Linked DNA regions of Arabidopsis thaliana. The protein of the gene in region 1 purifies or fractionates together with the protein of each later gene. This does not show direct contact. Each region holds a gene or a part of one and is shown in the gene's direction. Other genes may lie near its edges. The genes, in order: RPN10, AT5G26360, AT1G75990 and RPN1B.

Region 1 (6,518 bases):
CACCTTTGGTTTTGGAATCTTCTCCATTTTTCATAGAAATAACGATTACGGGAACTCCTCTTCCTTCACCTACGATTTCACCTCTAGCTCCTGCGTCAAAAATTCTACCTTTACGAAAATTTCGGATGGGTACTACTGGGCTTCTTCGAGTGTCATGTACGGCATGGTTTCTTCGTCTGATCCAGTCTTTGAGAAGGATTTGATCTGGACACTTGTTGTAACGCTTATTTTAAGCGTGCCCTTCTGTTTTAGCGTCCTGCTTTTGCTCAAACACTACACTAAGCAGATTGTTTATGCTTGTTTACCTCTCTTTGTCCTTTTTCCCATCTTTTTCAATGTCTATTGGTTTGTCGCCTGTACTCTTAGCTCTTCTTGTAGCGATGCCCTCCCTCTAGCTTACAGAATACTTGTCCTAGTCTTTGTTTTCTTGATCATCGGGATCATTGTCTGGATCATAGTAGCTAATTGGCACAGAATTGATCTTACTATCCAAATCATCAGTGTTGCATCTGATGCCTTGTCCAAAAATTTGAAACTTTTTGTTGTGCTGCCGCTGCTGACTCTCGGGTTAGTGGTGTACTATGCGCCGATTGTGGTGTTCTTGGTGTTTGCAAGGTTTAATGGGAAGTTTGTGCCGCGAGAGTTGGATGGTCAGTACTTTTGTGAGTGGAAAGAAGATTCTTGGGTTCCTGCGTATTACGCTCTTGCCATTTTAACGATGATCTGGTCTCTTGCTGTAATGGTGGAAATGCAAGTGTATGTGATAAGTGGAGCTATTGCTCAGTGGTATTTCTCCAAGGAAGACTCAATCCCTAAAAAATGCATCCGGAGTTCTTTGAGGTGACTCGCTGCCACATCTTTCTCTATTTTATTCTTGTTATCAATGAATTTGCTGTGCAGTTTCTCTTACAATCAATGGTGCTCTTAGTTCTAATATATGTTTTGTGTGATCGCGGGAGTTTTTGCTTTGAGTTCTCTTAGTTTTGTTTCCTCATAAAATATAATCTATGGTCATTCGAAGTATCCCTTGCTTGGCTTCGTTCTGGAGTATTCAGTGATTCTAGGTCATGGTATTCATAGTCTTGGCCTTATAGATTGGATATTGTATTGGAATCCATCATCTGAACTTGTTTGGTACTTTAAATGTGAAAAGAGACAACAGACAGTGGTATTTTTGAAAGGAGATTATAGCTTTGAGGATCCAAATTTGCATTAGTCTTCAAATCTGTTGTTGGTTTATGTCAAAGCATGTGTGAATCTTATTATTTTTTGTATCTGTCTCTTCAGGAATGCATTTGGTCAATCCTTTGGTACGATATGTGTATCAGGACTTCTCATATGCATTGTTCGTGTGGTCCGGGCAATTGTGGACAATGCAAGAGAAGAGAACACACAAGGAATAGTGAACATGGTTCTCCGTTGCTGTGCAAACGCCTTACTTGGTGCCCTTGACTATCTCAACAAGTTCACCATCAACTTTGCTGCAATAACAGGGGAAGCGTATTGCACCTCTGCGAAAATGACTTACGAGCTGTTAAGACGCAACCTACTGTCAGCTGTATTTGTCGAAACGGTTTCCACCAGAATCCTAACCGGAATAGTCTTTGTCCTGTCAGCCGCATATGCAGTCGCGGTAAGTATTATCTTCTGCTTGTCTCACCAACCAAGCATTTAATAATTGCCATAATGACTAATTCCGGGGTTTGATGATGCGCAAAAGCAGACATGGGCTGTTCTGAGAGGAGTGAGCAACCTGGGTATAGATTCGTACGTGGTGGCTGTACTGGCGTGGGTGTTACTGATTGTGATATTGGCTTTCTTTGTACATGTTCTTGACGATGTGATTGACACAATCTATGTCTGTTACGCGATTGATAGAGACAAAGGGGATGTATGTAAGCAGGAAGTTCACGAGGTTTATGTTCACTTGCCTATCAGCAGAAGCACAAGATCTTCTCTCATCCCAAATGCTCTTAATGCATAGCAGAAGATGATCCAACGTCTCTGCTTGTTGTATCTTTTTTTGTTTGTTAGCACCGTTGTAAATTCCTCTCTGGTGAACTGTGGTTTGTCTTCTTGGGGTTTATATTGATGTTTTGTAGAGTTATGGGGTAACAATGTTGAATAAAAGAAAGACTTTAGTTATAGGAATTACTGTAATGTGGTCTGTGTTTCTTTTATTCATTAATAAATCAACTTTGTTTTGCTTTTTATCAAAAACAACCATTGGGGCTAAATTGAAATAAACGTAAAACATTAGGGTCTAAAAGGAGAAAGTAAAAAAGTAAAGGGGATATTTAAAGAAGAACAATGTTATTATTATCGGTCTAAACTAAAATCTAAATCTTGCCTTCCTGACTTTCTCTCTACGACAGAATTTTTGAAGCTTCTCTCTGCTTATCGACACGATGGTTCTCGAGGTGATTTTCCAATTACTTGTGCTTATCTTCGTTGATGATCCACGTTGAATGCTTTTTCTCATCGATGATTTCTTGTTGTAGGCGACTATGATATGTATCGACAACTCCGAGTGGATGCGAAACGGAGATTACTCTCCGTCTAGGTTACAGGCGCAAACGGAAGCTGTTAATCTTCTTTGCGGAGCCAAAACCCAGGTAATAATTTACGTTTTTTCACTTGATTCGATTAGGGTTTTTGGGTTTGCGTGAGATTGTGATTTTTAGGGATCTTTCTTTTTTGCAATTGCAGTCGAATCCGGAGAATACGGTGGGGATTTTGACAATGGCTGGCAAAGGAGTTAGAGTATTGACTACTCCTACCTCTGATCTTGGCAAAATTCTGGCCTGTATGCACGGTATGTATCTCTCTCTCCAATCTTTCTATTTATTATTAGCTGTCTACTTAGAGCAATTAGAAAAAATCTGTTCTTTCTCTTTATCATTGAGTTTGACATCAATTTGCTACTTGCGTCATCTTTTCAGGCCTTGATGTGGGAGGAGAGATCAACTTAACCGCAGCTATCCAGATCGCCCAGCTAGCTCTTAAGCATCGCCAAAACAAGAATCAACGCCAAAGGATTATTGTTTTTGCTGGAAGGTACCGAATTGCTTTGTTTTTGCTGAGTAACTTTTGTATAGTTTTATACTGATGTTTTTCTTCTGCTTCTACTTTTTAGTCCAATCAAGTACGAGAAGAAGGCCCTAGAGATAGTTGGAAAAAGGCTGAAGAAGAATAGTGTCTCTCTTGATATTGTCAATTTCGGGGAGGATGATGATGAGGAAAAGCCTCAGAAACTCGAGGCGCTCCTTACAGCTGTGAATAACAATGACGGTAGCCACATTGTTCATGTTCCTTCTGGAGCCAATGCTCTCTCAGATGTGCTTCTCAGGTACCATCCCTTTTCTTCTTTTTTTCTAGGTTATGTAGATTGTAAAAGGAACAGTTTCAACAATATCCGGCTTGGTAGGTGCACTTCATGTGGTTTTGTGTGTTTAGGTCTTTTGAGCTCTCTAGTCTTGCTTTTTATCAATGCTGCAACAAAACATTTAGACAGTGATTTGAATCATAGATAGTGTTTTAACTTTTAAATTTTCTTCCAGCACACCTGTATTCACGGGTGATGAGGGTGCAAGTGGCTATGTTTCTGCGGCAGCTGCTGCAGCGGCCGCAGGTGGGGACTTCGACTTTGGTGTGGACCCAAATATCGATCCAGAACTTGCTCTTGCCCTTCGGGTCTCCATGGAGGAGGAGAGAGCAAGACAAGAAGCTGCTGCCAAGAAGGCGGCCGATGAGGCAGGTCAGAAAGACAAAGATGGGGACACAGCTTCCGCCTCACAGGAGACAGTTGCTAGGACAACTGACAAGAACGCTGAACCAATGGTTAGTTGTTACTTAAAATTGAGTGTAGCATTCTTATATAGTCACAGGCGGAGAGATTGTTAATCATACAACCTTTTGTGGCAGGATGAGGACAGTGCGTTGCTAGATCAGGCAATTGCTATGTCTGTTGGTGATGTGAATATGTCAGAAGCGGCTGATGAGGACCAGGATCTGGCTTTAGGTAAGTAGAACAGTGTGGTAAAAGTATATCCATGGCAATCAAAATTGGCATTTTTCTTATATTTTTTTATACTCCATGTGCAGCTCTGCAAATGTCAATGAGTGGGGAAGAGTCAAGTGAAGCTACAGGTGCTGGAAACAACCTCTTGGGAAATCAAGCCTTCATATCGTCTGTTCTCTCATCGGTAAGCCTACATAAACCTTAGTCAGTTTTTTTCACAAGCAAAATGAAAGAGAAAAGTAGTAGGGTTAGCTTTGGTACTAAGACTTTGTGTACACGCAGCTTCCTGGGGTGGATCCAAATGATCCGGCAGTTAAAGAACTACTAGCGTCTCTGCCAGACGAGTCAAAGGTGTGTCTTTGTTGATGTTTATGATTACATCTTTTTGTTATTTGAAAAAGAAGATTCTGATAAATGTATATGGTTAAAATGACAGCGTACCGAGGAGGAAGAGAGTAGTAGCAAAAAAGGCGAGGATGAGAAGAAGTGAAGAAGGATCTGAGAGTCTCAATAAAAATTCCTCTTGTTTCTTTGGTTTGATAGAGATTGGAACTGAATTTAACTAATCTCTCTGCCTTGTGAAATTTGTTTTTTTCTCTCTCTCTCGCCTTTTTATAATGTTGTTATTGTACGAGTCAAGGACTAGCTTCCTTCTTAATTTTTATTGGACTTTATGTCAATGGGCTCTTAGAAAGTAAGCCTATTTGTTACAGGTCTCTCGATCAATTCAGTAGAATAGCGAGTCCTAAATTCGTAATGAACCTTGCACAAGTGTCAAATCTGAAATATTCTTACGACAGTGCAAAAAGTCTACATTGGTAATTAAATTTTGCTCACATTTCTGCGAAGTTATGTTTTTCTCCAAGTAATTAAAGTCCCACGTGGCAGTTAGGTACTTAATTCCTTTGTTCTACTGTTGGCTCGTTTTTTTGTTCTTTGCAATCTAATTTTTATATGCGCTTATTAGTCTGCTAATTGCAATCTATTTGCATTATTTAATTTATATTTATCCCAAGATATGTGTATTTGTCTGCTAATTGCCACATGCGAGCTGTAGTTTTGATCATCTACGTACGTGTAAACTATGCTACACAAACAAATTGAATTGCTAAATATGACTATCGTTAAAGACTTTTTATTGGGGAAACTTATTAGTGACGAAATTTCTTTGTTCCCTTTTAGAGCAAGAAAGGGAAAGACAAAAAGAGTCACAAGACTCACAAACTATAACATAAAAAAAAAGAAAGAAGAAAAACTGATAGAAGCTTCTATTGCATCTACCTAACACCTTTTGAAAAAGTCGTTTCTTTACAAATGAAAATGAATAATATTAGAAAGAAGAAGGAAGAGGAGGCAGGTGCGTCTGTCTTTGTTCACTTGTGTCTGTGTGTGTGGTCATCCTTTTGTCCTTTTCCCCTTTTTCCTTATCTTCAGTTCTCACCACTCCTCCTCTCCCATCTCTTTCATTTCCAAAATATCATCCTCCTCTATCAACTTCTACATGTTTTTTTTTGTTATTCCTTCACTTTCATAATATTTACCCAACCACTGTTAAATCTCGATGTTCGAAATTAATCAAACGTTCTCAACTTTATTTTAGACTTCAACTGATTTTGTTTTTTTTTCCAACTTTAAATTTGTTTCATTAGTTGATGCAACCTGAGAAAACTCTTATTGATTCCATTATTGTTGAGTTTGTATCTTCATCAGAATATGATATATATCAAGCCCCAGTGCTAGTGACAACAACTTGTCATTTGGTGATCATATAATTTCTCAAGTGATTATACCAGTTTTTGAGATCTTACCAATTTTTGGCCAAAACAAAAAAACAAACACACAACTGGAGTATATAACCATTTGATCAATTTTAAAACTAAATCTAAATATATACGAGGAAATAATATACTGCTCTATTGGGATTTGAGATGATAATTAATGTAGTAGCTAGAGAGGGTTTTTGTAGTGTTGAGGAGAGGATATCAACGAAGGAACATGTACAACACCGATTTTACCAAGCATCTTACGATAGAACAATGTTTAAGTTTACGAGTCGCTACTCTTTCTAAATTCAACCATGTGGCTACATTCAATGAAACTCCTATACATAATTTTTATATGCATGCATGCATAAATATATTATGTGGTATATGGATATACAGTATATGTATGTTATGCATTCATGTGTAATATGTATGTATGTATGTATGTATGTATGTATGTATGCAGATGTAGATCGCTTGCAAGTGGACAAAAGATGAGGAAAGGTTGGTATATAGGTTGGTAGGGAGATGGGTAGTGAGAAATAAATAGAGTTTGGTAGAAGAAAGGGTCCATTGGTTGTTGCTTCCTTTCCTTCATTTATGGTTTTCATTATTTTCTTTTTCTTTTTCACATATCTCTTTCTTTCCTTTTTTTATCTTAAAAACATTTAAGTTTTCTCCTACCTCCTTCTCTTACAACTTTTCTATTCCTGCCAAATTAACTACAAACCTCA
Region 2 (7,636 bases), on another chromosome or scaffold:
ATCTCAACCAAAATGTTATATTCTTAAAAATTTACAAATCGTTAATTTGCATTAAATACTTGAATTAACTATTTTCTTTATTTCTTTTTTAGTCCCTACAAAATTTATCTAAAAATATTTTATTTTAAATTTAAATCTTTAATTAATTTTTATATTTATTAAATTACATTCAATTAATTGCTAATTTCCTAAAATCTATATATCTACATTAATAATAAATATATGATTTTTCTTTCATTTTTATTTGTTCTTATATCTAATTTATTTTTATTTGATATATATAATACATATAGTTAAAAATATATTAGTTTTTTCTGCATATGAGGTAATTCAAAATTTTAAAAACACACATATACTACTCAATCGATGAAGAAAAAAAATAAGTAGAAAAAATCCCACATTACTTTAAAAAATTGAGTAATAGTTCAGAGTCATACATGGCTTTCAAAGCAAAAACTATAGCCTACATAACAAGGTTCAACACAACCTGATTACAAAGAATTCTATAAAACAAAGATGGGCCTATTTCTTTGATCACACTGTGTCTTAGTAAAAACTAAGAGTCTCAAAGTCTGTAATCTGAAAAATCAAAGGAAGAAAAATTCAGGGAAACGAAACAAACACAAATGAGAAATCAAATAAATTAGCGAACCAAATTACAAAAACCTAAAACAGGAGGGAAAGCACTTACTCTTGTTATAAGAAGTAGACTTGACAAAAATAATCTTAAAAGGAAAAGATGATAACACTGAAGAGTTTGGAACAACTTTCTGACGGGAGATGGATTAGGTCGAGGGAGATTATACTATTAACAGAGGAAAAAAACCAAAAAAAACTCCATTTATTTTTAATTTGTTCATACCTGCGTTATTTAATTTGGCCGTTTAATACCTAAGTTAATTTTTATGTTCATTAAAAACCTTCATTTTTTTAAATTTTGGCAAAATCAGACATGCGAGTTAACGGGCGTTAACAATGGTAACGGAATCGCTAACCGCAGTTAAAACTTAACCATATAATGTTTACTATTTATATACAATTTGTTTTCTAATAGTTATGATCATATTATCTTAGTCCCAGTGGTTTTGAGAGAGATTATCATCCTCATCAGTTCGAGATCGATTCTCATCTCCAACAAATTTTTTGATTTTTTTTTTTAACAAAAGGCAAAATCTCAGTAATCCGAGTTACGATTTTGAATTTGATTCTGAGACTTTCTTTTGTTTAGCACCACGTTTGTTAGATCTGCTTCAATTCGATTTTGAGAACGAGCTAAATTAGATTCCTTCATCTCTTCAATTCATATTAAGGTTTTCAATTTCTAGATCGATTGATATGAATAAGTCAGCAAAGATTGCATATTCCCAGTTTTTGCTGATATTTTGCGTTGAAAAATCCAGACTTTGTTTTTCATTGTTAGTAACGTTGATAGCTTATAGAAAGATTATGTTACCATTAATTGCATCTGTTGATAACAAATAAGATCGATTATCACAAATCTATGTTGTATTAATTGGTCTAACATTTGGGACTTTTGGTTGGTGATTGATTTTGGTGCAATATCCTTTGGAGAAAGAAGTGAAGCAACACACAAGTGCAAAGCCTGTTGAAGTGAAAGAGATGGCTGACTTCGATTTTGCCTTTTTGTTAAAAAAAAAAGAAAAAAAATCAAAAAAAATTTTGGAGATGATAATCGATTTTGAATCGATGATGATGGTAATCTCTCTCATAACCACTCGACTAAAATAATATGTTCATAATTATTAGAAAACAAATTGTATATAAATAGTAAACATTATATGGTTAAGTTTTAACTACAGTTAGCGATTTCGTTACCACTGTTAACGCCCGTTAACTCGGATGTCTGATTTTGCTAAAATTAAAAAAAAAAAAAAGGTTTTCAATAAACATAAAAATTAACTTAAATATTAAACAGGTAAATTAAATAACGCATGTATTAAACGGACAAATTAAAAATAAATGAAGTATTTTTTGTATTTTTTCCCTCTTAACAAATTAGGTTAACAATTCTCCCGTTCTCACGCATCTTTACCTAATCTTCCGGATATAAAAATACTATTACTTTGTTTTGATCTTACAAAAAGGCCCAATGTGTGAAATATTAGTTAATGGGCCTTAGGGATGGGCTTCTCAACCTAAAATGAAAAGCACGAGAGAGGATGAAAGAAATCGGAGAAGGCAGTAGGATCTTCCACTTGCCGCTCTTTGAAAATCACTCGCCGTGTCTCTCTAAGCTTCTTCTTCACTGTGAAAACCTCAGATCGCAAATATGCACGCACCGGTACTCGTTCTGAGTGAGTATCTCCATCTTCCTCCAGATCTCATTTCCTCTAAATCGATATTAGTTTTTTGGTAACGAGATTAACTCCTTTTGTGAAAATGGTTTAGGCGATTCGTTGAAGCGTGAATCTGGAAGTAAGGTTCATCATGGTAATATCCAAGCTTCCAAGGTAAATTAATCCTTTTCTATGGCTCTTTTTCTCTGTGATGCTTGTTGCTTCTCTCCTCTGGTTTCAGATCATCGTTGTTTTTGTGGTACAGGCTGTTGCTGATATCATTCGTACAACATTGGGTCCTCGTTCTATGTTGAAGATGCTTCTTGATGCTGGTGGAGGTCTTTTTCTAAACACTTCCTCTTTTTTTTAGGCTTTTCATATCTCTGTATGTGGGTAGTAGATCTCTGTAGTGAGGGAATTAGGTTTAGTGTTTTTAGCTTTGGAAATGTTTTTCTTATGTACTCGTTCTTTGTTGAAGCTATTGTTCTTCAGTTTCGGTGTTAGTTTTATATAAACCCTAAATCAATATTTGGGTTCTGTTTGTCTTGTTTTTTTTTTTTTTCTGTCTACCTTTAATTTTTCTTAATCTGTGTGTTATCATCATATCTTACCCCTCTTTGTTTCTTGGATCTTTACAGGGATTGTTGTTACTAATGATGGGAATGCTATTCTTCGTGAGCTAGATGTCGCTCATCCTGCAGCTAAGGTTTTACTTCTGACCTTTCTCTATCTATTGTTCTTGTTAAAATTGTTTTACTTATCCATTTTTGACTCTGGTGATTGCAGTCAATGATTGAGTTGAGCCGTACGCAAGATGAAGAAGTTGGTGATGGGACAACGTCTGTTATTGTTCTAGGTACGAACATTCTTTTTTGCTAACAAATAGTTTGTCAATGGCTTGGTTTGGACCAGTTTTAATGTATTTTTAACTAAAGCACAAACAAATTACTTAAGGATATTATGGGTGCTGCAGTATTCAGTTCAACATCATGATCTCTGTTTATAATCATGGGTTCTTGAAGTCCTCTTTTTGTTTGCTTTTTGCCAACAGCTGGTGAAATGCTTCACGTTGCAGAAGCGTTTCTTGAGAAGAATTACCATCCCACAGTCATATGCCGAGGTATGCTGGCACTATGAATTGCTTATTGTTGTCATGTTACACATGTCGTTTTCATCTTAACGAATGCATTCTTCTCTGCAGCTTACATCAAGGCTCTCGAAGATTCTATTGCTGTTCTTGACAAAATTGCTATGTCAATTGATATCAATGACCGTAAGTCCATTTCTACCTTGTATTTGTTCATTTGGAGTTGACCTTCAGCTACTTTGGTTTCTGAAGTTAGTTTTTCTTTCACGTTTGTACTGATGGAAGAATGTGTGAGTTGCAGGTTCACAAGTGCTAGGATTAGTCAAGAGCTGCATAGGGACAAAGTTCACTAGCCAATTTGGAGATCTTATTGCGGTAAGTACCGTAATTACAGTAGCTTCTTACTTATGCATTACCAGTCCAGGTTTTATTGCTCCTTAATATATATTGGATATGTCTAGACAAGTAGGTATAGATACAGCATACATCTTGAAGTGACTTTTTAAATGTAAGATGAGTAACCATGAAATAACTTGAATTTGATGACTGCTTTCTTCAATTCTTTTGGTGGTTTTCGATTGTTGAAATACTTGTAGTATGAAGTTCTACAAGTTTGATTGTCGTTGGTACTCACATGATTTTATATGACTTTATGTACTGTTTTAGGATTTGGCTATTGATGCCACTACTACTGTTGGTGTTGATCTTGGACAAGGTTTGAGGGAGGTAGACATTAAAAAGTACATCAAGGTTGAGAAAGTTCCTGGTGGTCAGTTCGAGGACTCTGAGGTTCTTAAAGGAGTTATGTTTAACAAAGATGTTGTTGCTCCTGGTAAAATGAAAAGAAAGATTGTCAACCCACGGATTATTCTTCTTGACTGTCCTCTTGAGTACAAGAAAGGTGAAAATCAAACCAATGCTGAGTTGGTTAGAGAAGAGGACTGGGAAGTGTTGTTGAAGTTGGAAGAGGAATATATCGAGAACATTTGCGTTCAAATACTAAAGTTCAAGCCTGATTTGGTTATCACAGAGAAGGGTCTTAGTGACTTGGCCTGTCACTATTTCAGTAAAGCTGGGGTAAGTGCAATCCGAAGGTTGAGAAAAACTGACAACAACAGAATCGCCAAGGCTTGTGGAGCAGTAATTGTGAACAGGCCCGACGAACTGCAGGAGTCTGATATCGGTACTGGGGCTGGCTTGTTTGAGGTCAAGAAAATTGGAGATGATTTCTTTTCTTTCATTGTTGATTGCAAAGAACCCAAAGCCTGTACTGTACTCTTAAGGGGACCAAGTAAAGATTTCATCAATGAAGTGGAAAGAAATTTACAGGTTCGTTGGTGTTATTTACAAATCTGTATTTCTTAATCATTCATAACCTTATATGCCTGAAACATTGTCCCTACAGGATGCCATGTCTGTTGCAAGAAACATTATCAAAAACCCAAAGCTAGTTCCTGGTGGAGGAGCCACAGAGCTAACCGTTTCTGCCACATTAAAACAGAAGAGTGCAACAATTGAAGGCATAGAAAAGGTCGGTTTTGCTTTTATTACATTTTGTTTCCTTGCCTAAAGTTGTGTGATTTTGTGTCAAATCTATATCGAGCCTCTAAAACGAGTATGCTGTTCCCACGGTCGCTGATAAATGTTCTTTTGTTGGTCTGAATCTTATTTAAACAGTGGCCTTATGAAGCAGCTGCCATTGCTTTCGAGGCTATTCCACGTACCCTGGCTCAAAACTGTGGGGTTAACGTGATCCGTACTATGACTGCATTGCAAGGGAAGGTACTGTCCTGTACTAATGAACCCCAACTGCCATCTCTTGCCCGTTGTTTAAGTATATACCAACTCTTTTCTCAATGCTTCAATTGTCGGTTTTGGTGCAGCATGCAAATGGTGAAAACGCATGGACTGGTATTGACGGGAACACTGGTGCAATAGCTGATATGAAAGAGAGCAAGGTAAGGATTAAATCACATAACCTTGGTTGATTCTCACAACATGAAACCAATGTGACTCAGAGAGTTGACTAAAAGCTTTTAACAATTTTCCAGATATGGGATTCGTACAATGTGAAGGCGCAAACTTTCAAGACGGCTATAGAAGCAGCGTGTATGCTTCTAAGGATCGATGATATAGTGAGTGGAATCAAGAAGAAGCAAGCTCCTGGATCTGGACCTTCAAAGCCTACCATTGAGACAGAAGGAGATGCAGACAACGAACAAATTCTTCCCGACTAAGCGAAGGGAGAAACACTTTGGTCTCAGCATAACTCAATCTCTGTTTTCACTTGTTTAATGGTTGCACTCTTTTGGCTATTATCTTCCCTTGACATATCTTTTAATTCTGCAGTTTGACTTGGTGAGATAAGATTTTCGAGGGTGGTTTTTTTTTGTTTGTTTTGGAATATTAGCTTTTTTGAATTTTCGTAGTCACTTTGTTGGTTTTTAGAGTGCTAGTTGTTATTGTCTTTTTGAAATTTCTGGCACTAGAGACTTTTTTAGTTTGTGTCGTTTTTGTTTGAATATCATCAAGTATGTACTTCAACTGGATCTTTAGTTGACCGGTTAGTGTCAAATTGTGTTTTTGTTTGAACACCATTAATTGCATTTCAGACGTACGGATCTGTTATTTAGAGTTTTGGGTTATTATTCAGGTTGACTCGGTCCGAATTTATTTATACGGGTTGGTTTTGTTACTGAAAACCTTTAAACTTCGCTAGTTAAATGAAAATTGAAAGTTTAGTTATGTTGATCTTGATCTAATTTTACAGTAAACTAGAGGAAATACGGGCTACGCCCAAATTTATTTTAAAATTTTATTTCTGTTTTTTGTATTGTTTTTAGTTCATATATTTTTTTTTAAATTTGCTATATCTAAATAGAAAATTAGTTTGAATTACTTATATTTTTATATACTATCTATTTGTGTTATTTAAAATGAAACTGAATCACCTTTTATTTTTATTTTATTTTATTAAAGATGATTGTAATATAAATAGTTTTTCTTAACTCAAAATAAATGGGTTTGTTTTCACAAGACTTTTTTATTTTTTCATTTCTTTGAGGTTTTGTTTTGAATAATTATTGGATTTTCTTTTGTTGGGTTTAGTTCATTAGTTGGAATTATGTATAGTAAACGTATTAAACTCAATGGGTGGATAATTTGTAAAATTTATTTGTAAAAGCTAATTTTGTATTATTAGATTGGTAGCATATTGTTCAATTCTGCATATATACTAATCATTTATTAAATAAAAAAAGTTAATAGTTCTTATTATGTATAAAGATTCGTTAATATTTTCAAAATTAGTTATTTGTAATTAACGTAAATTTGATTTTTTGATTTTTTAATTAAAATAATGAATTACATTACCTTCTTTTTTGTCAACTAATAATTTATATTACCTAAATTTTATAAAAACTGTCATTGAAAAATTGGACTTTGTGATCTCAGAAATAAATTATAAAAATATTAAGTTTCTTTTATTTAGTTTTGTTAGTTTAAACCATTTTAATTGAAATCCAAGAAAAAAATAATATTTTATTTTAAGCATTTAATTTGCTTTTGTTTTTGAAGTAAAAAAATCAACACTTATTTTTTCTAGTAATATTTATTAAAACATTATTTATTTTTTGTTTTCTAAATTTTTTTTTAATAATTTGGTGACATTGCATTTAGAGAGAGTATTTAAAAGAAAATATGATGTGGCATCTCTAAAATGATTTTTGGAATGATGATGAGGATGACTTGAGAAGCCTCAAATTGTTTCTTTTATTAGCAGTAGATAATACTATTTTAATCATATACTATCGTTTTCTTATACATTTTATATGGGAAAAAACTCTAAAAAAACCTCATATATTTTTAATTTGCCCGTTTAATACTTCGGTTATTTAATTTGTCCGAACAATACCTAGGTTTATTTCTTTTCGCTTTAAAATCTTTCGTTTAGTTTTTGTTTGGAAAAATCAGCTTCTCGGGTTAACGACTGTTAACTTCGTTAACGGTGTGTCTAACTGAGGTTAATACTTAACCCCACGTGTTTTATTCGCCCAATATAAAGACACTGTTACCCTTAACGAAAACCCCCAAATCGATTTGTTATTATAAACCCTAGTTCTATTAGCTCTTCTTTACAAGAACTCTTCTTATTTCCAAAAATGATGAGCCAAAGTTCAGGGTCTGATGCGAATTCAATTAGCCGTAGCTGAGTCCTCTTTGCAATTGTGGTAGGGCAACGACAGTTACAAAG
Region 3 (6,443 bases), on another chromosome or scaffold:
TCTAATAATTCTAATCAAATGATCTTTCAGGTACCAGTGCCCAATTCCTATTGAGTTGGTGAAGCCAATGGGCGATATTGATTATGAAGGACGAGGTTTGTCAACAACACTCTCTGTGTTATTCTGAATCTCCCTTGTACTTGCTTTCTTTATTAGTGTCCTTTTTCACTTTTCTTGCAGAGGGTTCACCTGGTGGCAGAGGGAGGGGAAGAGGAAGAGGAAGGGGAAGAGGAAGGGGGCGAGGTGGCAGAGGTTAGATTACCTTAAAAATGCCCTACATAGATCATCTGGCTTAGTGAACGTTGAATATTGATTTTGAACATATGATTCATGAATAAAGTCTTTTTTTTTTTGCTGTCAGGAAATGCTTATGTGAACGTTGAGCATGAAGATGGAGGTTGGGAACGTGAGCAGTCCTATGGTAGAGGAAGAGGACGTGGCAGAGGACGCAGCAGTCGTGGTCGTGGAAGAGGAGGATACAATGGTCCTCCGAATGAGTATGATGCACCACAAGATGGAGGTTACGGTTACGATGCTCCTCATGAACACCGTGGATATGATGACCGTGGTGGTTATGATGCCCCTCCTCAGGGCCGTGGTGGTTACGATGGTCCTCAGGGTCGCGGTGGTTACGATGGTCCTCAGGGTCGCCGTGGTTATGATGGTCCTCCTCAGGGCCGTGGTGGTTATGATGGTCCTTCTCAAGGCCGTGGTGGTTATGATGGTCCTTCTCAGGGCCGTGGTGGTTATGATGGTCCTTCTCAGGGCCGTGGTGGTTATGATGGTCCTCAGGGTCGTGGTAAAATAAATTAAAACATTCTGTATTCTTTTACCTGGTTCTTGAACTGTAATTGTGTGAAGAAGCCATGAGTTTTGAATTGGTTTGATGCAGGGCGTGGACGTGGACGTGGAAGGGGAGGACGTGGAAGAGGAGGAGGACGTGGTGGTGATGGTGGTTTCAACAACAGATCAGATGGACCACCAGTCCAGGCAGCTGCTTGAGAGTGAGGTTTCTCTTACACAAACATAAAAAGAAGAAAAAAGCCCAAGTCGTTGGATGTTTTTTTTCTATCTCCTTGTTCTCTCACTTTCTTTCTATGTTTGCTTCTTCTGTCCATCAAGAAGACATGTTTGCCATAAGTGTATCTCATTCCCCTTCTTTTTTTTTTACTATCCATTGATTGACAGTGTTTTAGCTTGTGGTCTGTTTTGTTTAGAGTCGCTTAGGAATATATGTTCAATTTATTTTATGGTTGGTCGTCGTCTTGGGTTTTTGTTAGAGAAGAACTACTGAGGCATCCTCTTTTCTTTTCTTTTTTCCTCTGTTTTGTAGTTTTGTTTAGGTGAGAGTGAGACACAGTTTGGACAAATTACCTCTTTTCTTTGGTTATCAGTTTTAATGTGATGGAACAGTTGATTCTTTTATTTCCAACAAGTACCCTTGCAAAGTTGAATTCTTATATAACATTATAACGAAAATAACTCACAAATGGAAGCAGATTTACACAGAGAGAGAAAAAAAATGGAAGTAGAAAGCCAGAAACCATCGATTCTCGAATTTGGGTTGATCTTCAAAATTCTAATGAGACAGACACAACAAAGGAAAGGAAGCTCATAGACTCGTCGACACCGTATTAACAATAGATTTACTCGATAAAAAAATGTTAGCGCCGTTGCCGGGGATCGAACCCGGGTCACCCGCGTGACAGGCGGGAATACTTACCACTATACTACAACGACTTTGATGTTCTAATTAATGACATTAATAGTATTAACAAACAAGATAATATCTGCCTTCAAGGGAAAGAAAAAAATAAAATGGAAAAATATAATTGGGAAAAATGTTGTTTTATATACGAACTTTCAAAAAGTGGCCATTTTATACGTGAACTCTGACGTCGGCCAAAATAAATATGAAAAATACGTTGACCAGCCATTTTAACAGAAACAAAACGTTGACCTGGCCAAAATCCCGAGACGTTAACTCGCATTAACAGACCCAATTAACCCCGTTAACAGCACGTTAATAAACTCTGTTAAAGCCGAAACGGTGTCGTTTTGTTCTAAACGAAACAAAACAAAATCCCCAAATCGAAAACTCAAACCCTAAGTCTTCATCTTCCCCAAATCGATTTCTTATATCCAACTTCTCTCAATCTATCTTCTTTGAGCTTCAACTCCGACAGAAGACTCTGCTACAACAACAGCCGGCAAAGCTAGAACTCCACCATCAAACTCCATCTCCGGTTTCAGCTACTCGTCGTGGTGGAACAGGAGCAATGTCGACTTCGCCTTCTATTGCTAAGGCAATCACAACAAGATTAATCGAAGAACAAACACGATTTTACCAATGAGAGAATTAGGGATTTGGTTTGAGAGAATTAGGGATTGAGTTTTCGATTTGGGCATTTTGATTTGTTTCGTTAGGTTTGAAACGACGGCGTTTTGGTCTTAACAGAATTCATTAACGTTCTCTTAACGGGGTTAATCAGCGAGTTAACGTCTCGGGATTTTGGCGAGGTCAACATTTTGTTTCTGTTAAAATGGCTGGTCAACGTATTTTTCATGTTTATTTTGGCCGACGTCAGAGTTCACGTATAGAATAGCTACTTTTTGAAAGTTCGCGTATAAAACAACATTTTTCCCAAATATAATTTGGTAATTTCTGTCTAGGAAAAGAAAAAGGAAAACATAAGAGTACTTATGTGTGCGTTAAGCCCTGCTCTTTTCAAATCAATTTTTAATTTACCTTCGTCAAGAAGAAGACGACTTGAGATTTGCGAAAAAGATGACTCAGGACGTAGAGATGAAAGATAACCAAACCCCAACGCAATCCGTCGTCTCTGCTCCTACCTCCACGCTACAGAGTAAATCTCTATCTTATGCTTCAGTTTCTCTTAATCTCACATTGCTAGGTTTGTTTCAAAATTGAATTCGTTGTACTGCTTTTTTTTTTCTCCAGATTTGAAGGAGATTGCAGCTCTGATTGATACTGGATCTTATACAAAGGAAGTCCGTCGTATTGCTCGTGCTGTGCGTCTCACCGTTGGACTACGAAGGAAGCTCACGGGTTCCGTGATCTCTTCTTTCCTTGATTTCGCTTTGGTTCCTGGATCTGAAGCTCACACTCGTCTCTCTTCTTTTGTGCCGAAGGTATGTGTAGCTTCACTTGTCCACTTTGATTACGAGCTTATCTAGGATCTGTAATTAGATTCATGTATTAGTGTTTGCCCTTAATTTGATGGAATTTATAATATTGGTACAGAGTGATGAACATGACATGGAAGTTGATACAGCATCATCGAATTCCCAAGCTCCTCCTAAGCATCTACCTGCAGAGCTCGAGATTTACTGCTACTTCATTGTTCTTCTTTTTCTCATTGATCAGAAAAAGTACAACGAGGTTTACTTCTTCTCTATCTCTCTAACTGACATACTTTATTTATAAATCTTGCTGTGGTCTTCATTGTTTTACTTTCTTTGCTTTCAGGCCAAAGTTTGTTCTACCGCTAGCATTGCTCGCCTCAAAAGCGTAAACAGGAGAACCGTTGATGTCATTGCTTCCAAATTGTATTTTTACTACTCCTTAAGTTACGAGCTAACTAATGATCTTGCAGAGATACGTAGGTGAGTACAAGTTCACAGTCATCTTTCAACTTTTATCATATTAGTTCAACACTCAATTATCTTATTAACTTGTCTCTCTTTCTGTTGCAGTACTCTTCTTGCTCTTCACCATTCGGCCACACTGCGCCACGACGAATTGGGCCAGGAAACACTTTTGAATCTGTTGCTTCGCAATTATCTACACTACAACCTGTACGACCAAGCAGAGAAGTTGAGATCAAAAGCGCCTCGATTTGAGGCACACTCTAACCAACAGGTAACCCTTTCATACATTCTAGTTTCTAATTCTAAGTTAATTGTGATGCTTACTTATGCCAACCTCTCTGATGCTTACTAATGCCAACTTTTCACTGTGAATTTCTCCAAACTACATTCACATGTTTCAACTAGAAACGATACTCATCTCGTTATATAAATTTACAGTTTTGTAGGTACTTGTTTTACCTTGGCAAGATCAGGACGATTCAACTTGAGTACACCGATGCAAAAGAGAGTCTCCTCCAAGCTGCTAGGAAAGCACCTGTTGCATCTCTGGGATTCAGAATCCAGTGCAACAAGTGGGCTATCATAGTTCGGCTGTTGTTGGGTGAAATACCTGAACGATCTATCTTCACTCAGAAAGGAATGGAGAAGACTCTTAGGCCATATTTTGAGCTGACCAACGTGAGTTCAATCTTTTTTACATTTCTAACATATGCTTTAATTAAGGTTTTCTTGCTAATACTCTTGTTTAAATTTTGTAAGGCTGTGAGAATTGGTGACTTGGAGCTGTTCGGGAAAATCCAAGAGAAGTTTGCCAAAACATTTGCGGAAGACAGGACTCACAACCTCATAGTCAGACTCCGACACAACGTGATCAGAACAGGACTGCGCAACATCAGCATTTCCTACTCCAGAATCTCTCTACAGGATGTTGCTCAAAAGCTGAGACTGAACTCAGCGAACCCAGTGGCTGATGCAGAAAGCATCGTCGCTAAAGCCATTAGAGATGGAGCAATCGACGCAACCATCGACCACAAGAACGGTTGTATGGTCTCCAAGGAAACAGGAGACATCTACTCCACTAATGAACCACAGACTGCGTTTAACTCGAGGATTGCCTTCTGTTTGAATATGCACAATGAAGCGGTTAGAGCACTGAGGTTCCCGCCAAACACGCACAGGGAGAAAGAGAGCGAGGAGAAAAGAAGGGAGATGAAACAGCAAGAAGAGGAGCTCGCTAAATACATGGCTGAGGAAGACGATGATGATTTCTAGATTTGTTTCAAATTCTACTGTTTTTGTCTGTTAACACTTTTGTTATTTTGAATTATCTGACTTTTTCTTGTTATTATGCACATCAGTTCTTTTACTTTATGAAAAAACAAAATCTCAAACTTTATCACAAGTCCACATTGGGATCAAAATTCTGGTAAATAAATTCACTGAAGAAGTGAAGTTAGTAATATAGAAGAACATGAACATGATTCAAACCCAAGATCAGTAGATGGGCCTTTAGGCCCATTAGTTATGTAATTACAAATCGGCGAAGTAACTCCGATTGTTTTTTCGCCGTCAAAGGTTAAACAGTCGAAACAATGGAGATTCTGAAGCTTGATGTAGCGAAGTTTCCAGAAATTGAGGATACAATCGAATTAACTAACCCAAAGAGAAACGACGAAGTAGAAGATTGCGACGACCAACAGAAGCAGCAGCTAGCTACACAAGAAGATGAAGAGGAAGACGAATTGAGAAAGCTTCTGCTTTCAGATATTGGAGAACTTCCGATTTCTCCTCCTTCAGCTACACAAGTCAATTTTGTTTCTTACTTCATCACAGGTTCTCAGATTCACCTACTGTTTAGTGTTTTTCAAAACCCCTTTTGATAGTGTGAAGTGAATTAAACCCTTTTCAATGTTTTTGCAGATTTTACTAAATCGGGTCATGATCAATATATTTACCGTCACGCTAATGGGTATGTCAAAGATTGTTCCTTTTGCTGTTGAAATGATGAAATTGGTTTTCTTCTTACTTGTGTGTTTGTTTGTTTGATAGTTTGTGTGTAATTGGATTGGCTCCTACGCATATAGCTTTTAAGGATGAAGGTGGAATCACTAGTGTCGATTTCAATGTTGGTAAGTCTGATCGTAGCGTCTTGAAAGTCTCCGGCAAGCGTAAAAAGGTGGCTTTCTCTTGATTCTTGAGTCTTAGACTTTTAGTAATTGTTATAGCTTGAAGTTTTGCAGTTCGAAATTGTGTGTTTATTGTCTTTGATTGAGTCTAGATTCTGGCTTTAGCTACTGTTTTTTACTTGCTCTTCTTGTGTAGAATGCGTTGCGCTCTGAATCGAATACAGCATTGTGCAAAGTTTCCACTGCAAAAGATACTTACATTGTTAGGTGTGCAAAGCTTTTTTCTGTTTTCACTTTCCTTTGTCCTAAGTTCTTATTTGCAAAAAAATGAAGTTGTCTTTGTTCTGAATTGGTTTTTGCTAGGTGCTGCGTTAAAGGCTCTCTCTTGGAGGTCAACGAGAGATTGATTAAGCAACCAGAGCTTCTTAATTCAACGGTAAGTAATAAGAGAGGAAAATTGGCTTCTCTAACAAATCCTCAAAAACCAATGAAAATCTCATTTTTTGCTATGAGTCTCTATTGTTGCTGTACCTTCAATAACAATTTGAGCTCTTATGTTATACTCTTAATGTCAAGAACTTTGCTTATGGAATCAGTTGGATAACTTAAATAACTTGATCATCGTTTCCTTGCTTTTATACATGAGTAGGATAAAGCTAATGATGATGTTCTGTATTTTGATCACCTCCCATTCTTATAAAATCT
Region 4 (9,178 bases), 4.0 Mb from region 1:
AGATCCGCTGGAATCACACCTGGATGCTCATTGCCTTTCTCTGGGAATGTGATCTTTGTGCCTTTCTTCCACCCGGGTTTCACTCCAATCGTTAGAATCTCTTCCACTTGCATTGCCTTACTGCATTTACCAGAAGACAGATATTAGATATTGTTAAGACAACAACTAGGGTCAGCTCAAATCAACAATTAACCATATGGAAGCTGGGGAATGTTGCAGAATCTAAAAGCTTGAAACTTTGTTTCATATATGTTCATCATACTTGGGACTTGGGAGGTTGTATATTTCTAAAACCATGCTCTAGGTTGACTAGTAGATAAGCCTAATAACAAAATGTTATAAGTGTGATCGAAATGGTATCTGAGTTCAATCACTTACCCGCTGACATCTACAATCTCCCTGGAGATCTTCATCTTCTTGGTGGTTCCTTTGTAGAGATCTTCAAGGCTACAAGGCAACTTGTTCTCGATAGGAGCCACTTTCCTAGCTGCAGCGTGATGATGATGATGGTGATGATGATGCATAGCTCCTCCTCCACCTGCTCCTTCACCAAACGAGGCATACATATCATCACCAAACATGCGGCTAGCGAATCTCTGCCCTCCAGTGCCACCACCACCGCCACCAAACGGGGTCGAGAACCCGAAAAACTCAGCGAATATATCATCTGCACTTCTCGGGTTGAATCTGAAAGACGAAGATCCATCTCCTGTTGAGAAGTAGGATGCTCCACTAGTAGCAGCATTGGGAGGTGGCACATTCCCTTTTAACCCTTCCTCACCGTATTGATCATATACAGCTCTCTTTTGAGGATCGCTAAGAACCTAATCATCTCACAACAAAAACCAACATTAGCCTCATAAAAGCCTGAGTCAAATCAAACAATCTTAGTATGTTCCTCATAATCCTAAGCTACACATTGACAAGTACAGAGTGCCTAAGAGGTTCTCAATAATCAATCACAGAGTTAAGAAAACGGATAAATCATGACTCAGAAGATCAGCAAAGAAAGCACAAATTAAGAGCTTTGGAGATAACCTAGCTTGCCCAAATATAAAGCAATCATCTTTTACTATATACTATGATTCGAATTACTCAGGGACACGAAATCTAAAAACCCCACGAACCAACACAACATCAAATCGTGAAATCAGACTAATTGCATCTCATATCAAAAATCAGAAACAAGTTCGTGACCACCGACAGTATCAAGGGAATGAAAATTTCTCAATAGAAATAAAAATCAAAACTTTAGGGACGATTTCAATAAAGCAAAAGCAGTGGAGGAATCAAACACATACATCGTAGGCCTCAGAGATCTGCTTGAACTTAGCCTCAGCGTCTTTTTTGTTGTTAGGGTTCTTATCAGGATGCCATTTCATAGCGAGTTTTCTATAAGCTTTCTTAAGGTCATCGTCGTTAGCGCTTCTATCAACCTGTAAAACCTTGTAATAATCAACTCCCATCTCACCTTCTTCTTCTTTGTCTTCTCTCTTTCGTTTCTTCACTTTTCCTGAATTCGATTAAACAAAAAAAAGGAATTGGTAATTTCTGGATTTCTTGTTCGTCTCAGGTCTCTTCTTCTTCTTTGGCTTAGTATATCTCGTGGAAGGTTCGAGAAAACACGATCTTTGTTTGTCTCCGTTGACGGGGAGGTGACGGTGTTTTAAATCACAGCTTTGCCATCTTGCCTCTTCCCTTCTCCATTTCTTTTCCTTTTCTTCTTTTATTATCGCTCAAGTAATTCAGATTCTCCCATTTATATTATTAATTATAAAAACAATTAAATGTTATTTCCTCTTTCATTATGTGAAGGTATATGTTTGAGTTCGACTAATATTGCTAACTTTACCATAAAAGAACATGTCGACTAAGACATGTAACGTATTTATATAAATGTTGCTATTATTATGTTGTTCGAATTTAAATCCGATCGAATTAGTTGCTTCGAATTTAAATTGATCAAATGTAAATCCGATAAAATAGATGTTTTTGGAGTCCTTTATTTTGTGATTGGCTATATCGCCCAAATAAAATAAATTTTAAAGTGTTGATTATATATAGAGATGTTTGCCAAAGACAAGGTGTTTTATATAGAGACCATAGTAGAATACTATGGCCCAATGAATAGCCCAATTTATTATGGGCTGAGCCCACAATGGAATTCTTGATCGAGGGGTAATCTTCTTCCGTATAAGTACTTTTTTTTATCTGATAGTATTTATTTTTTACAGTTGAACCTTTTTGCTACAGTTCCTGAAGAAAAGCATAGTTCTTCTCTAACGAGCCATTCCAGAGAGACTTAGGGTTTACGCGAGAGCTCATAAGATAGAAGCTGCTCGATTCTTCCGAGTTTTACGAATTTCGATACTCATTGTTTGGATTCGTTGATTTGATCAGGTGATAGTCTGACTTACAATGGCTCCAGTTCCGGATCCGAACAGTGTTGGCGGTGGTGCGAAGCGGGACGAAGCTACGACGAAGATTCCTTCTAAGGATTCCAAGAAGAAAGATGATAAAAAGGAAGAGGATCTGGTGAGTTTTCTTTATATCGATTTCGATTATTAGTTGGAATCGTGCTTAGCTGAGTTAGAAAGAATCCAGGGAGATCGGAAAAAACTCACGATTAAGCTGTAGATTTTCCGAGATGTACGGTTTAGCTGATATATTGTGAATGTCGCATTGCTATTTAGAAAGCGAGGTTAAGAAGTTGGTTAAATCCACATTATAACTCGTTCTGGGAAGATACAATTCTTGTTAGGGTTTAAGTCACATGGAGTTAAATTAATAGGAATCTTTTGTACTATGGCTATGGTTTTAGCTGGTTTGATTGGCAGCTGACTCAATTTGCATATGATGTTATTGTAGTCTGAAGAGGACTTGCAACTAAAGCAGAATCTGGAGCTCTATGTTGAGAGAGTTCAGGACCCCAATCCTGAGTTACAGAAGATTGCTCTTGAAAGCATGAGGTAGTTTTTGTATCTCTTAAACCCATCCTTGATTTGATTAGATGCAAATATTCTGATAATTTTCTATTGGAGTTTCTTTAATGGGCTTATGACACTTCTTTTGCTGCTTTTAGTGCTTTCACTGTTTTCATAGTCTAATCTTGATCGATCTCTTTTGGTATGTAGGAAGGAAATTCGTGACTCAACAAGCTCCATGACATCAGTTCCAAAACCCCTCAAGTTTCTCCGCCCTCATTATGGAGTTCTTAAAGAATTTCATGCAAAAATGGCAGAGTCTGATCTCAAAGTACGATTTCAAACATTTTAAGTCATTTCTCATCAACACCGTCTTAGTCGTTCTACTGAGTCTGGATTATAAGATCGCACTCGTTTTTGCAGAAAATGTTGGCTGATATACTTTCTGTCCTGGCACTGACCATGTCTGCTGAAGGTGAAAGGGTATGCTTTCTTGCTACTGTTGTAGGAGTTTCTTGCCTATTGCTATTTGCTTCACATTCATTTAACTAGATTCCCTTTTGTTTTCCTCTTATGATATGCCTTACCAGATTTGTGTTTTGTGGTTCTTGGTAGAATTTGACTTAAGCTATTTGTTGCTGATCCTTTGTTATGCAATACTCTTTCAGGAAAGCTTAAACTATAGGTTGAATGGATCAGAGAGTGACATCGGATCGTGGGGTCACGAGTATGTCAGGAATTTGGCTGGAGAGATTGCAAAAGAGTATACAATACGTCAGGTTAGTAAACAATTTGGTCTTTGGCAATGTTCTTTAGCTCGAGGAGTTTCACTCATATTCTGGCAACGTCATGGATATTATGGTTTGTTAATGAATATTATGACAATGGGCTCGTTACTGAATATGGTTATAATGCTCATTCTTTTTGTTATATCAGGGTGAAGAGTCCTCTATTGAAGACTTAATGGATCTTGTGCAGCAAATTGTTTCTTTTCACATGAAGGTGAGATCCTTGTCATTCTTACTTTTCTTGTAATAACAAGGGGTCCATTGTATATTAATATAAGTTTCATTGATAGGCGTGAAATTTGCGCCTCTTGTTTTGTTCACATTTTTGAAGGATTCCCTTTTGTTCTTTGCAGCATAATGCCGAAACCGAAGCTGTTGACCTTTTAATGGATGTTGAGGATCTTGATCTCTTACTTGAGCATGTTGACAATACAAATTTCAGGAGGACGTGCAACTATCTCACGAGTGCAGCAAAGTAATTTCAATATGTTTAGCTTATTCATTCGACTGGCGTTTCACCCTTAATTATGTTATTTTCATATGAGACAAGCTCTCATGAGCTTTGCTTGGTTATCTTGCACATTATCAGTCCCGTTGATATTGTATGTTTTTTTCCAGGTATCTTCCAGGACCAGATGACATGTTGGTTCTAGATATTGCTTACATGATCTACATTAAGTTTGCAGAATATCCAAACGCGCTGCAAATTGCATTATTTCTTGATAACATGCAGGTATGGTTCTAATCTTCATATAAAACTTAATATCCTCTTTCTGCAACATGGGAGCAGCTGGGAAAAGCTCTTCTTTAACTTATGTATTTTTCTTATGATATATATTTTTCCTTTGTGCAGTATGTGAAGCAAGTATTTACCTCATGTACCGATCTGGTAAAAAAGAAACAGTTCTGCTACATGATTGCACGTCATGTAAGTTCTTAATAATTTAAATTAGCATAAAGGTGCAGTACCTGATTTTTTATTTTCTTATATTTATTTTTCTCTTGTTATTTCTCCATGCAGGGTATGACCTTTGAGCTTGACCAAGAGATGGTTGCAAATGACGAAGACAAAGAAGCGCTACAGGATATTGTTAACAACTCTAAGTTGAGTGAAGGATATCTGACGCTTGCTAGGGATATTGAGGTCATGGAGGCCAAGACGCCTGAAGACATCTACAAGGTATATCAGTTTAATTGAATATTATGTCTGTTACTGGTTTATTTGGTTACAGGATATGTTTATGGAAGTGCCTCTTACCTGTCCACTGAAATTTGCAGGCTCACTTGCTTGATGGTAGGGCTAGCTCTGGTCCAAGTGTGGACTCAGCTAGGCAAAATCTATCTGCGACTTTTGTGAATGCATTTGTAAATGCTGGATTCGGCCAGGTATGATTACAGGATCTTAATGTGCAACATAAGAAGAACTTTGGAAGCTGCCCTTTTCATATATTTCCTTATTGCAGGACAAATTAATGACAGTACCATCTGACTCAACCAGTGGATCGGCTGGAAACTGGCTCTTCAAAAATAAAGAACATGGAAAGACCAGTGCAGTTGCTAGTCTGGTATACCTCATCTTACTTGATAAATTGATTAGCTATGTTTTTATTTTGGAAGTAAAATTGTAACACGAACTTGTTTTAACAACAATTCTAGGGTATGATTCAATTGTGGGATGTGGAGACCGGACTAGGTCATCTCGACAAATATTTCCATAGTAACGATAATCCCGTCGTTGCTGGAGCTCTGCTGGGAGTTGGGATTGTTAATTGTGGCATTAAGAATGATTGTGACCCTGTGAGTTTTTTTTTTTTTTTAATATGGGAACCTCTGTGTCACAATTTTTCGCCATTCATTCTCACTCAGCTCTCTTTCTCAGGCATTTGCCCTTCTTTCAGGTTATATTGACAATGAGGATTCATCTGTCCGAATTGGTGCTATTATGGGTCTCGGGATTGCATATGCGGGTTCCCAAAATGATCAGGTGAATACATGTTATCTTCTTACCTATGGTGCTAAGTTGAATGTTCTGTTGACGAGACAATAACATGCTCACTGTTTGGATAGATAAAAATCAGGTTGTCTCCAATACTAAATGATGCCAACGCACCTCTCGATGTGATTGCATTTGCTGCACTTAGTTTGGGGATGATTTATGTTGGTTCGTGTAACGAAGAGGTTGCACAATCTATTATATTTGCTTTGATGGATCGGAGCGAGGCAGAGCTGGGTGAAGCCCTCACTCGTTTCTTGCCTCTTGGACTTGGTCTTTTGTACCTTGGCAAACAGGTGGGCAGCCAGTCATACTTGATTATTTTTCTTGTTCGTGTACTTGATCGTTATTTCCCCGATTATTAGTTTTAACTTGTTCCAATATCGAGCAGGAAAGTGTGGAGGCTACTGCAGAAGTTTCAAAGACGTTCAATGAGAAAATCAGAAAGTATTGTGATATGACACTTCTTTCATGTGCATATGCTGGAACCGGGAATGTCCTTAAGGTATCTGATCAAGTGTGCTAGTGGTTGAATTAGATTATTCACTTCTTTCTAGTTTAGTCTGACTCTTCAAACTATTCAAACTATTCAGGTCCAAGACCTTCTGGCTCAGTGTGGAGAGCATCTGGTGAAAGGTGATATCCACCAGGGTCCAGCTGTGATTGGATTAGCTATGGTTGCTATGTCTGAGGAATTGGGTCTGGATATGGAGATCCGTTCTTTGGAGCGCGTACTACAGTATGGAGAGCAGAACATTCGACGTGCAGTGCCTTTGGCTCTTGGTCTCCTATGTATATCAAACCCAAAGGTGAGTATTATTTTTGCATATCTAGTTTTCGGCGGCGTGCAGTTACTTTTCTGCTTAAGAATACTGTTGTTACTCTCTAACTTTTTTATAATTCCAGGTGACTGTTATGGACACTTTGAGCAGACTAAGCCATGACACAGATTCAGAAGTTGCAATGGTGAGTTATCTTTTCGCCACTCATGGTTGAGGTAGAGTAGTTATTTCTTTGACTTGCTATGCAGCGTTGGACTGATGTTTCATCTGATTCCTACAGGCAGCAATTATCTCCCTTGGATTGATAGGCGCTGGAACCAACAATGCAAGGATAGCTGGCATGCTTAGAAATCTCTCCAGCTATTATTACAAGGATGCCAGCCTTCTTTTCTGTGTAACGTTTTATGATTTCTTTTTAAGTTTTCATGGAATAAACACGGTTTCTACTTATGATAGGCTTGTTCTCATTGTCTTAAGTCACAATGCAGGTGCGCATCGCTCAAGGGTTTGTGCATATGGGAAAGGGTCTCTTAACTCTCAATCCTTTCCACTCCGAACGGCTCTTGCTATCGCCGTAAGTTATAACATATATTTTATGTATACTTTGCTTTCAAAGCTCCACCTTGTGAATCCTAAACTTGGGTGTTGTATTTTGTACCTAGAACCGCACTTGCTGGTATAGTGACATTGTTGCATGCATGCCTTGACATGAAATCCATTATACTGGGGAAATATCACTATGTGCTCTACTTCCTTGTTTTGGCGATGCAGGTGAGTGCAATTTTCTGTCTGATGACTTTTTTTTTAATGAACTAAGTTTATCTACTAACACAATACGGTTTGAGTGTGTAGCCAAGGATGATGCTGACGGTGGATCAGAGCCTGAAGCCCATCTCGGTGCCAGTGCGGGTAGGACAAGCGGTTGATGTGGTTGGACAGGCAGGCCGACCTAAGACAATCACTGGGTTCCAAACGCACTCAACACCTGTTCTCCTTGCTGCTGGGGAGAGAGCTGAACTCGCAACCGAGAAGTATGTTGTTCCTCTAATCCCCTTGTTACATTATCCTACTCGAAATAAAACTCTGTTTTACATATTGGAATCTAAAAAAACTCTGCTTCTTTTTGGGTCACAGGTACATTCCGTTGTCGCCCATATTAGAAGGTTTCGTCATATTGAAGGAAAATCCAGACTACAGAGAGGAGTAAATCCAAAGTTGCAAGCATTTGAAGAAAGAGAGAGAGCCTTTGAATACTTTCACTACGGTTGTCAAAAGTTTTTTAGTTTATTCCCGTCTGTTCCCAGGAAATGGTTCACAATCTCTCCTTTTAAAAGAAAAAATAGCTTCATTGCAATATATAGGAACTTCTTGTGCACTACTTTAATATCGCATTCTAAAAGCTGGATAAGTTTCCAAATCCAATTCTCTTAACCTGCAACTCCTTCAAATCAACTCGTTCGACGTTTCTATAAACTTGGCTTATTGATTATGGGCTCTTTGGTTTGCTGCCCTGGAACTTCAAGTTCTTGGTTTGTACGCACTCCAACTTCAATTTGTGACATGCAAAGGCTCCTCTCGTTGTTTCCGGATTTGGCCAAAACTATGTAATATTATTAAAATGTTGAAAGGGTGACCCAGCTAGCCCGGCTACATATTTACAATTTTACATAGATGGCGTGCACGACTCACTTGTTTCCTCGGTGTATCTTTTTTTTTTTTTTTTGAATAAGTTCGTTCCCAAACATAAACCAGAAGTATAAAATCTTATTAAAATTAGCAACCAGCAAAAGCAAAAATCATGTACATGTATATTGAGGGTTTTAGTTTCTGTCACTAACTATATGAACTTTGCCTAAAGAAAAAAAAAACAAATAATGAAATAAATGAATGGAATACAGTTTTCACCGTTTGTTCTGGTATACATATGGGGTATATCGAGATTAATTAATCTCCTCCGGCCAGGAAAAAAAAAGTAAAAAAGGAAAATTTAATGGCCGCGACCTCTTGGACTTGGACCCGACGCCAAACGCTGAAACCAAGAATCCACCGTCGATTTCATCTTCTCCACCGTCATAGTCGCACTTCCATCTCCCGATTTTTCAGTAAGAACCCTCCCCGCCGCAGCCGGAACCACCACGTGTTCTACGAAAAACAACGACACCATCACAACCACAATCAAAACAGTAGACCAACTAACTCTTCTCATCGTATTTTACTTTCTCTTCTTTATGTTGTACCGACAAGTAATAAAATAAAACAGAAGCCTTTTTTTTGTTTGATATCAAAGAAAATTAAGAGATATGGTTATGTGGGAAATCAAATAAATGAGAGGGAATATTTATAGTTATTTGACGAGGAAGCGGTCATGACTTGAGAGAGTTCATCACTTAGGTCGGGTTTTCCCGGCGCTAGCTCACGATTTTGCGTGTTGACCAAGTATTATGACTTGAACGGGTCGCTCTTATGACACTTTACGATGTGCCAAATTACATTTATACCCATTTTGGTGGTTTTTAGTTTTTTAGAGGTAAAAAATAATCAATGAGAATTTTGTTAACGAAATTATATTTACACATAAATTTTTTAAAAACAAGTGTTTTATTCGAAAAACTAATTGATGCAATTTTATCAAGATGTTTACGCGGTACCAATGATTAATTTATACTAGATCATTTGATAGCAATTGTATCT

Evidence for each region.
Region 2: the proteins of RPN10 (region 1) and AT5G26360 fractionate together in Arabidopsis thaliana (co-fractionation; one large-scale study listed by BioGRID). This does not show direct contact.
Region 3: the proteins of RPN10 (region 1) and AT1G75990 fractionate together in Arabidopsis thaliana (co-fractionation; one large-scale study listed by BioGRID). This does not show direct contact.
Region 4: the proteins of RPN10 (region 1) and RPN1B fractionate together in Arabidopsis thaliana (co-fractionation; one large-scale study listed by BioGRID). This does not show direct contact.

The regions. Positions count from the first base shown.
Region 1 is NC_003075.7:18,055,350-18,061,867, reverse strand, and holds RPN10 (regulatory particle non-ATPase 10), read left to right. Parts: upstream 1-2,269; 5' UTR 2,270-2,408; coding exon 2,409-2,420; intron 2,421-2,501; coding exon 2,502-2,615; intron 2,616-2,709; coding exon 2,710-2,815; intron 2,816-2,942; coding exon 2,943-3,057; intron 3,058-3,136; coding exon 3,137-3,349; intron 3,350-3,560; coding exon 3,561-3,840; intron 3,841-3,924; coding exon 3,925-4,021; intron 4,022-4,104; coding exon 4,105-4,205; intron 4,206-4,303; coding exon 4,304-4,372; intron 4,373-4,457; coding exon 4,458-4,511; 3' UTR 4,512-4,880; downstream 4,881-6,518. Other genes in the region: AT4G38640 (Plasma-membrane choline transporter family protein), read left to right, coding at 1-840, 1,288-1,633, 1,724-1,984. UniProt on the Arabidopsis thaliana protein: Plays a role in maintaining the structural integrity of the 19S regulatory particle (RP), subcomplex of the 26S proteasome.
Region 2 is NC_003076.8:9,253,546-9,261,181, reverse strand, and holds AT5G26360 (TCP-1/cpn60 chaperonin family protein), read left to right. Parts: upstream 1-2,153; 5' UTR 2,154-2,290; coding exon 2,291-2,315; intron 2,316-2,409; coding exon 2,410-2,471; intron 2,472-2,562; coding exon 2,563-2,635; intron 2,636-2,935; coding exon 2,936-3,003; intron 3,004-3,083; coding exon 3,084-3,153; intron 3,154-3,348; coding exon 3,349-3,417; intron 3,418-3,498; coding exon 3,499-3,570; intron 3,571-3,685; coding exon 3,686-3,759; intron 3,760-4,050; coding exon 4,051-4,713; intron 4,714-4,789; coding exon 4,790-4,915; intron 4,916-5,061; coding exon 5,062-5,166; intron 5,167-5,267; coding exon 5,268-5,342; intron 5,343-5,435; coding exon 5,436-5,621; 3' UTR 5,622-6,129; downstream 6,130-7,636. UniProt on the Arabidopsis thaliana protein: Molecular chaperone; assists the folding of proteins upon ATP hydrolysis. Known to play a role, in vitro, in the folding of actin and tubulin.
Region 3 is NC_003070.9:28,523,064-28,529,506, reverse strand, and holds AT1G75990 (PAM domain (PCI/PINT associated module) protein), read left to right. Parts: upstream 1-2,658; 5' UTR 2,659-2,788; coding exon 2,789-2,867; intron 2,868-2,962; coding exon 2,963-3,153; intron 3,154-3,265; coding exon 3,266-3,403; intron 3,404-3,490; coding exon 3,491-3,627; intron 3,628-3,717; coding exon 3,718-3,883; intron 3,884-4,050; coding exon 4,051-4,290; intron 4,291-4,371; coding exon 4,372-4,884; 3' UTR 4,885-5,103; downstream 5,104-6,443. Other genes in the region: AT1G76010 (Alba DNA/RNA-binding protein), read left to right, coding at 31-95, 181-252, 362-799, 893-1,002; AT1G75980 (Single hybrid motif superfamily protein), read left to right, coding at 5,205-5,445, 5,533-5,581, 5,662-5,788, 5,935-6,005, 6,102-6,174. UniProt on the Arabidopsis thaliana protein: Acts as a regulatory subunit of the 26 proteasome which is involved in the ATP-dependent degradation of ubiquitinated proteins.
Region 4 is NC_003075.7:14,065,598-14,074,775, reverse strand, and holds RPN1B (26S proteasome regulatory subunit S2 1B), read left to right. Parts: upstream 1-2,193; 5' UTR 2,194-2,418; coding exon 2,419-2,535; intron 2,536-2,868; coding exon 2,869-2,969; intron 2,970-3,134; coding exon 3,135-3,255; intron 3,256-3,347; coding exon 3,348-3,407; intron 3,408-3,592; coding exon 3,593-3,703; intron 3,704-3,860; coding exon 3,861-3,926; intron 3,927-4,065; coding exon 4,066-4,187; intron 4,188-4,330; coding exon 4,331-4,445; intron 4,446-4,565; coding exon 4,566-4,640; intron 4,641-4,733; coding exon 4,734-4,892; intron 4,893-4,990; coding exon 4,991-5,098; intron 5,099-5,175; coding exon 5,176-5,277; intron 5,278-5,368; coding exon 5,369-5,509; intron 5,510-5,591; coding exon 5,592-5,696; intron 5,697-5,779; coding exon 5,780-6,001; intron 6,002-6,096; coding exon 6,097-6,210; intron 6,211-6,298; coding exon 6,299-6,514; intron 6,515-6,611; coding exon 6,612-6,671; intron 6,672-6,767; coding exon 6,768-6,881; intron 6,882-6,975; and 9 more. Other genes in the region: AT4G28480 (DNAJ heat shock family protein), read right to left, coding at 1-120, 379-824, 1,302-1,466; AT4G28460 (uncharacterized protein), read right to left, coding at 8,475-8,693. UniProt on the Arabidopsis thaliana protein: Acts as a regulatory subunit of the 26 proteasome which is involved in the ATP-dependent degradation of ubiquitinated proteins.